Notamacropus eugenii: one gene and its partner. The protein of the gene in region 2 interacts with the protein of the main gene of each other region in a biochemical or structural test. Links are inferred from orthologs where the notes say so. Each region holds a gene or a part of one and is shown on either strand. Other genes may lie near its edges.

What was found. The genes of interacting proteins can lie anywhere in the genome.
Region 1: of the proteins of AKT1 (region 2) and CDKN1B, one has a biochemical effect on the other in vitro, tested with the Homo sapiens proteins (2 studies listed by BioGRID). The link is inferred for Notamacropus eugenii from reciprocal best matches to the Homo sapiens genes AKT1 and CDKN1B.

What each region holds. Positions count from the first base shown.
Region 1 is NC_092874.1:198,276,246-198,283,665, reverse strand, and holds the start of CDKN1B (cyclin-dependent kinase inhibitor 1B), read left to right. Parts: upstream 1-4,358; coding exon 4,359-4,836; exon of another isoform or gene 4,837-5,446; coding exon 5,447-5,568; 3' UTR 5,569-5,577; exon of another isoform or gene 5,578-5,894; intron 5,895-7,420. UniProt on the Homo sapiens protein: Important regulator of cell cycle progression. Inhibits the kinase activity of CDK2 bound to cyclin A, but has little inhibitory activity on CDK2 bound to SPDYA. Involved in G1 arrest. Potent inhibitor of cyclin E- and cyclin A-CDK2 complexes.
Region 2 is NC_092872.1:346,211,359-346,218,384, reverse strand, and holds the start of AKT1 (RAC-alpha serine/threonine-protein kinase), read right to left. Parts: upstream 3,057-7,026; 5' UTR 2,936-3,056; intron 2,034-2,935; exon of another isoform or gene 1,925-2,033; intron 1-1,924. UniProt on the Homo sapiens protein: AKT1 is one of 3 closely related serine/threonine-protein kinases (AKT1, AKT2 and AKT3) called the AKT kinase, and which regulate many processes including metabolism, proliferation, cell survival, growth and angiogenesis.

The sequences.
Region 1 (7,420 bases), on a different chromosome or scaffold from region 2:
GGCTGCCAATGGAGAGTACTTTTGTTCAGGATTCCCCAGAACTGTCTTTACCTTGTGGGGCATGGGACAATCTAAGAAGTGTCTTAAGAGCTTTATGTTTCTGTACCTAGGTTCCTGTTAATCTTTTGCATTTTAAGAATTTTATGTAGAGGGTGAAATAAAGGTTGTCCCATATTCAATATCTGTGTTTCATATTAAATGCTATATAAGACTAGGGGACCCTTGCCTACGTTTGAGGAGACACTGAGTGAGCTACACTTAAGCTTTCTTCAGATTTTTCCCAGAGTAAAAACTCCAGCCTGAAGGCAAAGAGCAATAATGGCTCCTTTGGGATCAACCCTCCCCCCCCCCCCCCCCCCTGCACCCCCTCCCCATCAGACCTGGGTTTATGTGAACCTAGAGTCCCTGAGACACATGGAAGTCACTCTGGACTGTTTTCCTACAAAGTATTCTCCTTTTTTCCCTTTTCCTCTTTAGGGAGAAGAATAGTACTCTGAACATTTCAGAGTCCCTTTTCTTAGGAGGTCCATAGTATTTTTAAAATGCTCCTATGTTTCTATAACAGACGCCTTGGCTCTTCATATTGGCCACACAGATGTGTGTGCCTTGACTTTAAAAAACACTATTTTATAGAGTTCTCCCAAAGATGCAACCTTTCTGTAGGCTGTTTGAATTTCTTAAGGTGGAATGATCCTAGTTTGAACTTTTAGAGACTAACTACAATAGACATGCTAATTTCAGAAATGAAGGGGCAGAAATATTATGAATACAACCATTATTAAAAATATCTCCCAAAGAAACAAACTAAAAGAAATTGTAAAAGTTAAAATATATTTACCACCCTTAGAAAAGGAGCAAGGACAAAAGATTAGAATTACCTTGGTTTCTTGGATGATTTCTTCAGGTTTTTTTTTTTAATTCACATGCAACAGTAGGTGACATGGTTGGCCCAGACTATCAAGCTCCATCCTCCTGACCTTTCCAGTCTCTACCAAAAAGTTTCTGAGACACAGACAGAGGGAGAGGAAGAGGTGGGCCTTGAGACAGTGAAGGCAGTAGATTCTGAAGATTTTCTGCATACAAAGAATGAACTCTTCTTTGACAACAAACGGGTAGAAAACTCTCTTTAAAAACCACATCTATCGCTAAACTGTGCATACTCTTTGACTCAGAAATACTTCAAATAGACATATATCCTGAAGAGATAAAAGAAAGATGAAAAGAATTCATATGTACATACTCATAGCAGCACTGTTTTTGTAGCAGTGAACTAGAAGCCCATCAGTTGAAGGAATGGTTGAAGAAAAATCCCTTATAAGTATAAATGCTATCAAGTCATAGGAAATGATGATCTGGAAGGATTCAGAGAAACTTACCAAGAGATATGAACAGATGCAGAGTAAAATAAGCAGTACGAGGACAGCAATTTAGGTGGTAACTATAAAATTATAAAGAAAAACAACTTTGAAGGACTTGACCAACTATAACTCCATAAGACAGAGGATGAAATGTGCCTTCTGCCTTTTGACAGAGAGGTGAATGGATTAGAGATACAGAAAGGCACACAACATTTGCAAACACCTTCAATATCTGTTTTGGTTGGATCTGTTTTGTTATACTAGGCCAATGTATTACAAGGGAAGGTTTTAATTTCTTTTTTAGGGGAATGTGGAGTGCAGTGACTAGTGACTAGTGACTAGTGTTAACAGGGCTCTCCGAAAATGAAAGACAAGAATGTCAATCAATAATTTGATATGGACAAGAAAAGAACAGAAGGTTTAGAAGGACACATAATCAGAACAGCTTTTGGAAGTAAGGTGATGACCCAACCCATGTATATTTGACTCATGGTTTATAAGCAATGTTCTTTTTCTGTTTTTCTTTGCATAAGGAAATGTTGAGGTTTGTTGGTGTACATCAAGTATGGAATAAGAACAACAAAAAAGGAAACATTAAGCATGTTTAGAAATTGGCAAGAATTTCTCCTGTCCTCTGTCACTGACTCCTACACCTGTTATTTGGGTGTTGCGTTGTTTCTTTGGCATTTCCTTTCTACTTGAACTGCTGATCTATAATCCTCAGAATCATAAGATGTTATCTTGAAGGCCATCTACAGAACCACCTCTCATTATAGCGAAGAAGTAATCAGTACTCCATGCAAAATAAGCCAATCTTTTCTGTGCTAGAGGGAGCAAATGCTCCCTCACATGCTCCCTCCCACCTCCCTCTCCAGAGGAAAAAAAAGGCCAAACAATGTCCTCAGGAAAGAAAAGTCGGGGTCAAATCATTGGAAAAATTCAAGCATCAGACACACCTATGACTGGCCACAAGTTTTACATCAAACCCTCCAAAAGCAGGCTTAAAACCTGATACTACCCTACAGTTGAAGGAAGGCAGCCTCCAATAATACTGAAATGCACTACTGGCCCATATGAAGAAATCTGTATATGGAGTGGAGGCACTTATACAAAACCTCTTGCTTTGTAATCAAATCTGGCCTCGGTCCCACCTTCCCCCTACCCCCCTCCATTTTCCTGTTTTAACTTCCTGAGCACTGTTGGGGAAAAAATGTTGATTCTTAGCTCCAGTGTTGCAGAGGGTAACAGACTGGGAAAGTATCCAAATCATCGCTAGTTCAGATGAGTTGACATGGCAGTAGAAGTTTCATAATTATTCCAAAAGACACGTCCAATGAGAATAATATGCACCTTAAAGTAATTTGCAGGTTATCACTTCACTTGCATCTGAAATTTGTATCCTGGGTGAGCTGCTGCAGATAGTGAGGGTTAGGGGGGAGGGGCGGTGATACTGAGAATAGGGAAAAGAGAAAGATGAGGGAACAGTTGATGGAAGAGAGGATGTTGTTTGCTAGTGGCTGGTCTCAGGTGGAAGAAATTGCTACAGCCAAACGGTTGAAGAATTTAAAGAGACAGAAACAGGTTTCTACATTTATGAGAACATCGTTTTTCCTGGACTCTAGTAGGGAGAGCAGCAAAACCTTTGATTCTGGGATTAGCTCCAGATGATTCTTACTCGACTCTTTTTATCTAAGGTCGTTTCCTGGCTTTTGTTCCTTTTTCCTATACATGCACTTCTAAATACTCTAGTCATCCAAGCTCTGCTCGCTACCCCTGACTTTTCTGGGAAAAGTTGACTCCTGTTTACTGCCCTAACCCCTTGGCCCCTCCGCTCCTTATCAGGCTGCTCTGGAAGGGAGACGTCGGTACAAGCTACGGAGCTTTCCAGCTGAGCCTGAGCGCCAAGCCGGCTCACCACCCCAAGTTCCGCGCCCCGTCGCCTCCCCTTCCCTCCAATTCTGGCCGGCGACTTTCACAGCCTTTAGGTTTTCTGACCTTCGCAGCCCAAGCTGGCGGGGGTACCACGGAGCAGGATGAGCAGATCTTTTAGGTACCAAGCAAACTGTATGGAACCAGCCTCCTTCCTCCCCCCGCCGGTGAGACTAGGAAGAGCAGGATCCGAAACGAGAAGAGCTGCGCCCGCCCAACTCCGTGAACTGCCAATTTATGCTATTTATTTTTGACTTTTAATTTCTCAAAGACTAGCCTGAGAGCGTTGCTTACTCCAGACCCCCCTCGCCCCCCAGCTCCCACCCCCGATACCTCGCGATCGCACAAGTCTCATTCCTCTGCTTTGCAAACCAGCACGATTTCGGTAGCGTCGAGAGGTATCTGGCAGAACTGCGCCCGGACTACCTTAAGGCAAAGCGCCTAAACGCAGCGAACCAGCCTCCGCGGGGTGGCTCCCGAAGCCACAGCCAATGGCTCCCCTTCTCTGTTTAAATAGATTTGCAATGTCAATCATTTTCTCCTTCTTCAGCCTCCCTTCCACCGCCATATTGGGCAACTAAAAAAAAGTGCTCGGCTTTTTGGGGTGTCTTTTTATATTCCTTCCCTTTCCCAGTCTCTTCCTACACCACGACTTTTGAGATCAGCCAGGTGTTTTTGTTTGGTTTTGTTCTGTTGTTTCCTCCGCGGCTCGGTTTGGGAAACCCACAGGCTCTTACCGGCTGGGTCTTGGACTAGCTTTTCCAATTCCCCCCTCCCCTCCCCTCCCCTCCCTTTCTCTCCTTTCCCCCCCTCCCTCTCCCTCCCTACGTCCCTCCCTCCCTCTCTCCCTTACACTTGATCTGCTGGGAGACTTTTCTGCTGGCTCTCCCGGGCTTCCCCCTGCCCCCTCCCCCAAACCCAACACTGATCCTAAAGCTTGTGTAATTATTGGTGGTTGTTTGTTTCCCTTGGCCCCGAAAGGGAATCGCGGGACCTATATAAAAGGGGCTACGTGTTCGGATTTTTTTGTTGTTGTCGTTTTTAAAAGTTGAGTGGAGACGAGGGAGGACGATGTCAAACGTGCGTATTTCGGACGGGAGCCCGACCCTGGAGCGGATGGAAGGCAGGCCGGCGGAGTACCCCAAGCCTTCAGCTTGCCGAAACCTCTTCGGCCCGGTGAACCATGAAGATTTAACGCAGGACTTAAAGAAGCATTGCAGGGACATCGAGGAGGACTGCCAGCGCAAGTGGAACTTCGACTTTCGGAATCACAAACCCCTGGAGGGGAGTTATGAGTGGCAACCTGTGGAGAAAGACAGTTTGCCCGAGTTTTATTTCAGGCCCCCGCGGAACCCCAAAGGGAGATGCCAGGGGCCCGGCCAGGAGAGCGGTGATCTCAACGGAGTGCGCCAAGCGGGGTTTTTTATTGCTTCTCAGGGAATCTCAGAGGACACCCACTTAAGAGATCAAAAGACTGAGGGTGCATCCGAAAGCCAGACGAGTTTGGCAGACCAGTGCACTGAGACGAGGAAACGACCAGCCACGGATGGTAATCGCTCCTTTAAAATTAAAATAAAACAAACCCCTCCCTTGTTTACTCGGTCTGTCTGGGCCACTCCTTGGCTTTACTGGAGGTCCGTCCCCGAAGTTGTGTCTAGAGAACACCAGCTCAGTTCTTGGCTTTTCCATCGGTAGCTGAAGCTATTAACCTTACGCTCCGGTGCTCTCATCTAACTAGTTATCATTTCTTTTGAGTTAAGGCTACTAGTTGTGTTTCCTGCCAGTCGGTGTAAAAATTTATCTGTAAACTTAACGTTTAAAACCCACCGCCTTCCTAAAACACCTGTCCCCTCCCCCAGTCTGCCATCATAAGGTATGTTAGTCACCCAAACTATTATCTTGCAGCTAGGATGTTCCTAATTATCCCTTGGGAAAGATTGCGCTATGTTATCCCTCGATAGGTACCGGGGTCTTGGGAGCAGGTCTTTGTTAATAGCAACAATATTTTCAGGATTTTAATACAATCAGATTGCTCCAGGATTGTGGGTGGTGGTAGTATTTCCCCCCTCCCTTCCCCCGGCTAACTTTTGTTAGCTAATGCTTTTAATAAAATCTGTTGCTTGTCTTCCCCTCCTCCTCTCCACAATTTCCCCTGCTAGATGTCTCACCTCAAAACAAAAGAGCCAACATTACTGAAGAAGAGGTCTCAGACACTTCTCCCAATGCTAGTTCAGTGGAGCAGACGCCCAAGAAGCCCAGTCTCAGAAGACATCAAACGTAAACTACTTAGGTGGGTTGCTTAGCTAGGGTTCAGAAATGAAACCAAACTGCACTGCTGGAACTGGTAGTCTCTGCAAACTCCTCAACACATTTTATTTATTAGTTGCCTATGGATAAGAAGTTTGCTAGTTTGTTAAGGGTATTTCAGGCCCCCTTCCGCCCCCTCATACACATTTTGTGAAGTTGAAAGAATAAGGAGTAGGGGAAAGGGTCGTTGAGTTTCATGCAGTTTTCTCCATCAGGCAGATCTTTTCTTGAGACAAATTAAGCAGTTACTCCAGAGTGAAAGATAGCATCCTGGATGAAGACTTATCCTGGAGGTAGTTCCTGGTGAAAGGGAGATCATCCTCTTATGAGCCTTCACAAAAACTTGATTGGAAGATGAGATTTTTTTCAGCCCTAAATAGGGCTGTGGTTGTTCTGTGACCCAGCAGAGGAGTTTGAAGGTTTTATCATTTTTCAGTGGTTTCAAATAAAGGCATTGTGTGGACCCAGAGGGAAGAAGGGGAAACAAATGGTTTCATCTTTTCATTTGAGAATAAACGGAGCTCCAGTGAGTCACAGAAGAGTTTAGAAATAGGATAAAGTGGCATGTGCAACTCATTTATTTTGATCCTTCTAGTGTCACACCACTTCTACTGGGTTTTTGGAGGGTGAGGGAAACATGTTTATGCAGAAGAACACGCAGAATCATTAAAAGTTACTCACAAAGTTTTTCCACAGCTCTGAAGTGCTGCAAAGTAAAAGTTAATGAATTCTGTCCCCCTTAAGCAATCTGGAACATGTCAGCATGTATATGCAAATTGTGCTAGAACAACTCACTATTTGGGTATTTCAAGGGGAAAGGAATAATAAGTATCAGGGCTGGCTAAGGCTGTCTACTTAGCTCTAGGGAAGTGGAGATTTCAATAATATGCTGAATTTGATCAGTTTAGATAGATGGAATAATTCAGTCCTCAAAGCTCTATTTAGGGGGCCTTAATTCTTCAGGCCAGCTAATTCTACTAGTCTACTAGGAGAAACTGAGTCTCATTTCTCCCTATAATATTCTTTATCAGTGGCTGCCACCTGGTAGGTGCACAATAAGCATTTATGGAATGTCGATGGAAACTACAATATAGAGGACACTTTAAAAGTGTGTGAGGGCATGTTTTTATTTCTTAAATTGAAAAGTCGCTCCAGTTTTTTTATGTAAATTAAATGTATATAACCTCCATACAATACAAAATGCCCACTTGCAGGGGCTTGTTGAAAGATGGCTTTATAGAACCTCTCTATACAGTGGAGGAAATTGGATGAAATTGTTGACTAATTCACCTGAAGATGTCAATATCTGCAGTGCTGCCAGGTCTCTTTCATATATCTTTATGTCAGACCCTCATAAAGTTTTGGTCTTGACTTATTCAGCTAAGCAAGACTTCTCAAATTCAAAGAATCTTTAGAAATGTTTACTCAGAGCACTGGCAAACTTAAAACAAACAAACAAAAAAAGCAACTGTACACATATATTCATCACAAGAAACAAGGATAAGCTTTAAAATTTTTTACCCTATTAGCTTAAGAGATAGCCATAAAATATTGCCAAAGGTCTTTTCAGCTGGATGAACTAGCTTAAAGGGCTACAACAGTTTACCTATACCATATTCATTTTGCATCTTCTTAATTTTTTTTGTACTGACCACTTAACTATGTGATTAATTCCTAGTACTCTCCTCTACCAATGTAGATCAACAATATATCTCTGTAACTTATGATCTTAAGAAAAAAAAGTTGCCTGGGGCACTAAGACTTTCAGTGACTTTCAAATCAGAACTTAAACCCTGGTCTTCATGACTCCAAGGCCCACTATGCCA
Region 2 (7,026 bases):
CAAAAGCTATAAGAGAGGTGGAGAGGACTGAGAAAAAAAACTGTACCAAAGGCCTGTCGTTGGCTCCCTGCGGGAAGGGGAGGGGAAAAAGGAGAGGCACTCCCCCACCCAGAAACACTCAAGTCTCACCCAGTGCAGATAATTGCATGGACATCAGAGGTGGGGGGTGAGACACAAAATCCAAACACGCCAAAAAGTTATTCCCTTAAAATTAGTCTACACCCTGAGCCACCCTAGAATCAAGAGGCATTCTCTCCAAACAGCTGAAGGCCTCTTTTGGGCAGAACCTAGCTCACCATGCGACCCTAGGCAAGTCACAAGCACTGTGGACTTGTTTCCTCACCTGTAAAAAGGTAAGGAAATAATAAAGCCTGCCCCACCCCCTCTTACGGTAAAAGTTGAATGAAGTAATAGGTAGGAAAGCATTTGGGGAAACCAAGGGACTAGAAACAAACATTGTCCCACTCACTGGTCGAACTCTCAAGAGGCCCAGCATCTGTATATTTATTATAAGATGCCTTGCAAACTTTAAAGCCCTATATATAAATGCTAGCAGTTATTGTTATTAAGTCCTACCTTCTCCAGGAAGCCCTTCTAGACTACTACAACTTGTGCTGACCTCTCCCTTCCTGACCAAGTGCACTAGTTCTGAAGTCCCGTTTTACATATGATCTTGCATCATATATTGTTTACAAAGGCAGTCTCCAGACAGAATGCCCAGACGCACAGATCACATCTCTCCTTCTGATCTCTCCCCTGGTCAGAGCTGAGCACAGAACCAGACACACAAACTCAATGCAGAGTAAGGCAGCACAGCACACTTGCTAGCTTGTGGTCATGGACAAACCATTTCCCCTCTCTAGGCCTCAGTTTTCTTATCTGTAAAATTAGACTGCTTACAGCACAGTTGTGAAGAAAGTGCTTTGTGAACCTAAACACATTAAAGACCATTCAAAGGGTGAGGATGAAGGTGTGAAATTTTCCAGGTTTCAAGAACAAGCTTGATGGGACCTAGAGATTAGTAGAAACTGAGAATCTCCCAACTCTTCCCTGGAGCTGTGCAGACCCCAAAGTTGCCCTCAAAAGACTAGCGGCTTTATAAATTCAAAATCAAACAACAAGGATTAAAAACTTGCTACGTGGAAAGAATCCTGTGGTCTGTGCTGAGATATGAACTTAAATGAGTCCCTCATGAAGCTCACAGACCGACAACAGCTGGAATGGCAAAAGAAATAGTTCAGAAAGGATAGGTGTCTTAAGAACCACCAAGTTATTCATGTCTTTCCCAAATACACACACCCACACAACCAACCTTCTCATCAGTGTGCAACCTGGCAACTCCTTGGTAACTTACAGTTGAAGACAGTTGCCTGAGGCAGTGAGAAGTTAGGCTTTGTGATCACACAATGAGCATGTGTCAAGAGGCAGGATTAGAACCCAGATCTTGGCAGTCTTTCATTCAAAGTACTTCAAGCAATGGCTCTCACAATCTAAAGGATGATCCTCTTTTAGAACTAATGAAACTGGCACAGAGCGCTGTGACTGGCCAAGGTGGTAGCTGGGCTGAAAACAAGTTTCTTAATTCCTCAACAAGCACTCTTTCCAGCCTATCCCCTCCACCCCACATAATAATAATGGACTCTATTTACCCCCCGCTGATAGATGAGGAAACTGAGGTGGAGAAAGGTAATTACTGAGGAAAGGTCATATTGTAAGTGAATACATTAACGACAAAAATAATCCTTCCTCACAGGTACAAGATGCTTTATAGCTTCCAAAGCACTTTCCCTTCCATTCTCTCATTAAATCCTCACAATAGGAGGCAAGGCGGTGAATCCTCCTCTCCCCACAGCCTAGTAAATAAAGACCTGCCAGTCAAGGGCCACCAGAGGCCAGCCCCAATTTACCCACCCAGGAATCTCACCTCTACAGTTAATTCCAGCTGTTTACTGTCCCCTCCATGAAGCCGTTCTCCACCCCTCAGCTAAGTCATCTCTCCCTCTTCCAATTTCTGCCTTTTAGACTGAAAAGCCCCGTCATATTCTCTCTTGAATCAATTATTTGGAGACAAGTCTTTTCCCTCTGTTAGACTGCAAGCTTCCTGAGAGAAGGGCATGCCAGGCTTCTTTGTATTCGAAGTGTCAACCGCAGGGTCCTGCCCACAACAGGCACTTCACATTTGCAGAACTGAATTTTACAGACCTAGACAAGTGAATCGATTTGCCCAAGGTCACACAGAAGAGACACGAGAGATGGGACCAGCACCCAGGGCTGTCCAGCAAAGTCTGATGCCGGGGATTTCGAGGAGCAAATCTTCCCCAAGCCCTGGCAGGGGCTCCCCTGGGGTGGCTAATCCGGTGTGGCCCAGCTCCCCGGGAGCCCCACGCCTCCCTAGGTGGGCACCTCAGGATGTGTGCCCCCGGGTCCCTTCCCGGGGGGAGGAGGGGAGGGATGGCACGCCGGCCGGCCCAGGCTCGCTCCCGGCCCCCAGCCCCGGCGCGCCCCGCCACGCCCCCCGCCAGCGGGCCGAGGGCGCCAGGAGCCTTGCGCTCGCAGGTCTGGGCTCCGGGGCCCGGCTGGCTTGGGGCGGCCAACAGCTTCCTGTTCGCTAATCGCAGGATACGGCGGCGGTGGGGAGAGGAGAGAAGGTCGGGGAGGAGAGGCGGGCAGAGGCGGGAGGGCAGCCAGCCCGGCCCCGCTTCCTTTTTTTTTTTTTTTGCACAAAAGGAAACACAAAAAGCCACGTCCCGGGGCGCAACCCCGTGGAACAAAGCGCCCGCGCCCTGGCCGCGCCGTGCCGCGGGTCTTGCGCCCGGGCGCACCAGGCCGGACCCCCGCCCCCGCGCCATGCGCCCCCCCTCTCCCGGCCCTGGGGCGCAGGAGGACGGGCTTCCCGACCCCGCAGGCCGCCGGCTCGGCCGGGATGCGCGCTTACCTGCGGAGAGCCGGGCCTGGCCAGGCCCCGGGTGGAGGGGGGGGTCTGTGCCGCTGGCGGGGCGCGGGCCTAGCCGGGCCGGGGCCGCCTCCCGCTCCGCATGCCAGTCCGCTCCGGGGCGGGGGGCTGGGGGCGGGGGGCGCGGCGCCTCCCCTCCCTCCTCCCCTCCTCCCGGGCCCCGGACGCCGCCGCCGCCGCCGCAGCCGGGATTGGCCGGGCCGGGGATCCAGCTGTGGCAGCCGCTGTTACAGCTGCCGAGTCCGGCTAGCCTGCCCTCCTCCCCCCTCCCCCTCCTCCTCCTCCTCCTCCTCCTCCTCCCGCCGGATCCGGGGCCGGGCGGGGGCTGGGCCGCGCTGGGGGCGCAGGGTCCGGCCGGGGAGGGCAGGAGGGAGGGGCGGCCCGGAGAGCCACCCCCCGGCCGCCTGCAGCGCTCTGGGCTGGGGCTACCGCGGCCCGGGCGGGCGAGGGGGGGGCGCGAGTCCGGGCGCGGGGCCTCCGGATCCCTCCAGCGCGTCCGGCTCCTCCTCCGCCCTGGCGCCCCGGGCTCACGCTGCCCTGCACACACGCTCCCCCACACTCACACACTCACAAACACAGACACACACCGCCCCGGCTAGCGCGCCCGCCCTCCCCTTTCCCCGCCCTCCCCCAACTATGCAGCCAACATCCGCCCGGCTCCTCCCCGCCTCCTTCTTCCTCTTTTCCCTCCTCCCCCTTCCCTTTCTCGTCCTCCTCCTCGTCTCCCTTCTCTTTTTCATCCTCTTCTCCTTCCTCTTCGCTCTCTTCTCCCCGCTCTCCCTTCCTCCTTTTCCTCCTCCCCTTACGGGGTCTTAGGAACACAGACTGTGACCTTGGCCATTATCCAGCCCAAGCCCCTCATTTGACAAATGAGGGAACTGAGTCTGAAAGGTTAAACAGGAGTAAAGCCCACTCCTTCCTCTTGTCTACTCCCATCTTCATCAGCTTTTAGCCCTAAGTTTGTTTTAGATTTGAATTTAGAACTGAAAAGAAGCTTGCTGGTCCTCTGTTAGATAGCCCCCTCTTTTTACAAGTAATAAAATAGCTGCTGCTGTGGCCAGACGCTTTGTAATCAATCATCTCATTGGATCCTCATGACAGTCCCAGGAGATCATTGCTATTATTAGCCCCATTTTGCAGGTGAAGAAACTGAGGCCCAGCGTTTAAGTGACCTGCCCAGGGCCACGTAGGTAATAAGTAACAAAGCTAGACTTTGAAAACCATTTGTTTTCCAGGGGAAGGAGAATAATTATACAGTTTCCCCACCCACACCAGGACCGGAATGTTTTGGCAAAAAGCTGGGAAATGCAGAATTCCCTACGTCTGATTCATGGCACTTCCAGATTGATGAGGGTGAAGATAAAATTGACATACAGGTCTATTACCCATTCTAAGAAAGTCCCTGCTCGACCTGGCTCTGAGAATGACCCAGCCTAGCCAGAGTAAGAATTTCTATTATAAGCAAGATGCTCCAGAAAAAGAAGACTGGGAGAGAACTTATTTGGCTAGCTAATGGAGCCAACACCATTGGACCCCTGAGCTATGAGACTAAACTGACACCAAGGACTGAACCTAAGGTTTAGGCAGGGGGGAAAGGAGACTCAGGAACAAGGCAGTGGACCCCTGGACCAGTCTTTTCTGTCTTCTGCCCTTTCACTGGAGAGAAGGATATGACCTAAGCCCCTGGATGCTGGTACTATGTTCAGTTCAGATATATAGGGGAGACGGAAAAGGAATAATCTTGGGCAGACCTTGTCCTCAGGAGAACTCACAGTCTAAGGGTGAGGAAGAGACTTATCCATGAAAGACAAAACAATTCATGGTAATTTCTAACTGAGTGCTACTAACTAGAAGCTATGAAAAAGGATCAATCAGTCAGGTGGGAGGAGAACCAGGAAAGAGACTTGTCATGAAAACCTAGAGAGAGGAGAATATCCAGGAAAAGAGGGTGAAAGCCAGTGTCAAACGCATCAGAGAAGTCATGAAGCATGAAGATTGTTACATTTGTCAATTAAGAGATCATTGGTAACTTTGGAGAAAGGCATTTTGGTTGAGCCAGACTGCAGAGAGTTGAGAAGAAAGTGAGACATGTATGATTGATATTGCATTTTTTGCCTTCTTAAGAGGGAGGGGGGGAAAGGTGGGAGGGACCAAATTTGGAATTCAGTTTTAAAAAATGAATTCTAATAAATAAGTTTTAAAGAAATACATATTTATTGAGCACTACACTAGAAATAGAAGAAACAAAGTTTAGATAAGACACGACTCCTGTTCTCTTAAAGGTCTCCTGCTCTTTAGGAGAGGGATGTGATGAGAATAAAATGTGTCTCAAGCAGGTTTTCTTAACTTGAGATCCATAAACTTGTTTGCTTTTGCTTTTTTTGTTTTGTTTTTGCCAACTATTTAAATAATCACGACTTCTTTAAAAAAAAGAAGAAGAAGAAAGTGAGAGGAAAGGAAATGGAGGCATCCATTGTAGTGAACCTTCTCAAGGAGGTTAGCCAGGGAAGGGAAGAGACAGAATGATTATTAATGGGGAGGGATGGATTAAATGAGAGACTTTTGAGGATGGAAGAAAGACGGGTGTGTTTGTAAGCATTGGGAAAGTTGTCAGTAGATGGAGAAAGATTGAAGATTAGATAGGGAGTATGGATGATGGAGAAAATCTGCTGGAGAAAAAAAATGGGATAGAGAGGGAGAAGGGGCCATCTCTTCACGTGTGGCTGAGGTGAGGGAAGAGGCAGTGGGTGCAAATGTCTGGAGAAATAGCTTCTGAGGAAAGACTTCATTCATTCAGTGAAATAAAAAGCAAGGTTCTTAGCGGATAGGGGGGATACACAGGAAACTGAAACAGCTAAACAGGCTTACTTACTATGCCTGGTACACAACATTCCATTTCCCATCTCCTTGAAGTGGAGAGAGTGCTAGGCCTGAAATCCGAAAGACTTGAGTTGGAGTCATACACTAACATTTACCTCAGTTCCCTCATCCATAGAAATGGATATTATAATAATAGTGTATCTCCCAGGGTTGCTGTGAGGATCAGATGAGATGATAAATGTAACTCACTTACCACACTGCCTGGCATATAGTAAGCACTCAATAATTTCAGTCAAGTTCAACTCTTCCTGATGTCATTTGGGGTTTTCTTGACAAAGATATTAAAATGGTTTGCTATTTCTTTCTCCAGCTTATTTTACAGATGAGGAAACTGAGGCAAACAGGGTGAAGTGACTTGCCCAGGGTCACACAGCTAAAGCCAGATTTGGACTCAGGAAGAGGAATCTTTGTGACTTCAGGCCCAGCACTCTATCCACTGGGTCACCTAGCTGCCCAAGCACTATATAAAATTAGTTTTTATTATTATTGTTATTCCATCCTGGGAATGCAGCCCCACCTCACTTCTTACAATCCTTAGTTTCTTTTGAAGTTCTAGTCATGTGGAACCTCCTACATGAGACTTTTCCTATAACCCCAGCTGCTATTTTGTATTGGCTTCAATGTGCATGTGTTGTTTTCCCAATAGAATAAAAATTCCTTTAGAGTAAAGACTGTTGTCTTTTCTCCTTTATGTCCCAGGTGCATAGCACAGCACTTGATACACAGTAGATGCCTTGTGTATTGTAGGCACAGAATATATCTTCATTGAATTTGTACATTCTTGAAAGGTACATTATGAACGGAATTGTCTTAAATGGAGACCTATTTACCCACTGATTTACAGGATCCTCCAATTAGAAGTAATGTCACCCTCCTTAAAACCTTAGAGTTAAATGGGTGCAGTATTCTTATATGAAAGAAAGCACCGCTTACAGCTTCAGGGAAAGCCCCTTCAACTTTGGATGTCAGCATCCTTATCTGTAAAATCCTAGAGTAAAAGGTCAAACAACAATAACAAAATGGGCATGATAATACTGGTACAACCAATTTCACAAGTGGGTGGTGAGGAAATGCTTTGTAAACTCTAAAGCACTCTAAAAACATAAGTTATCATTTTATTGTGGCCCTACTCACATTCGGTCTTGGTTTCAAGTTATCATACACACGTCCTTTTCTTCCTTCTTAATTCCAAG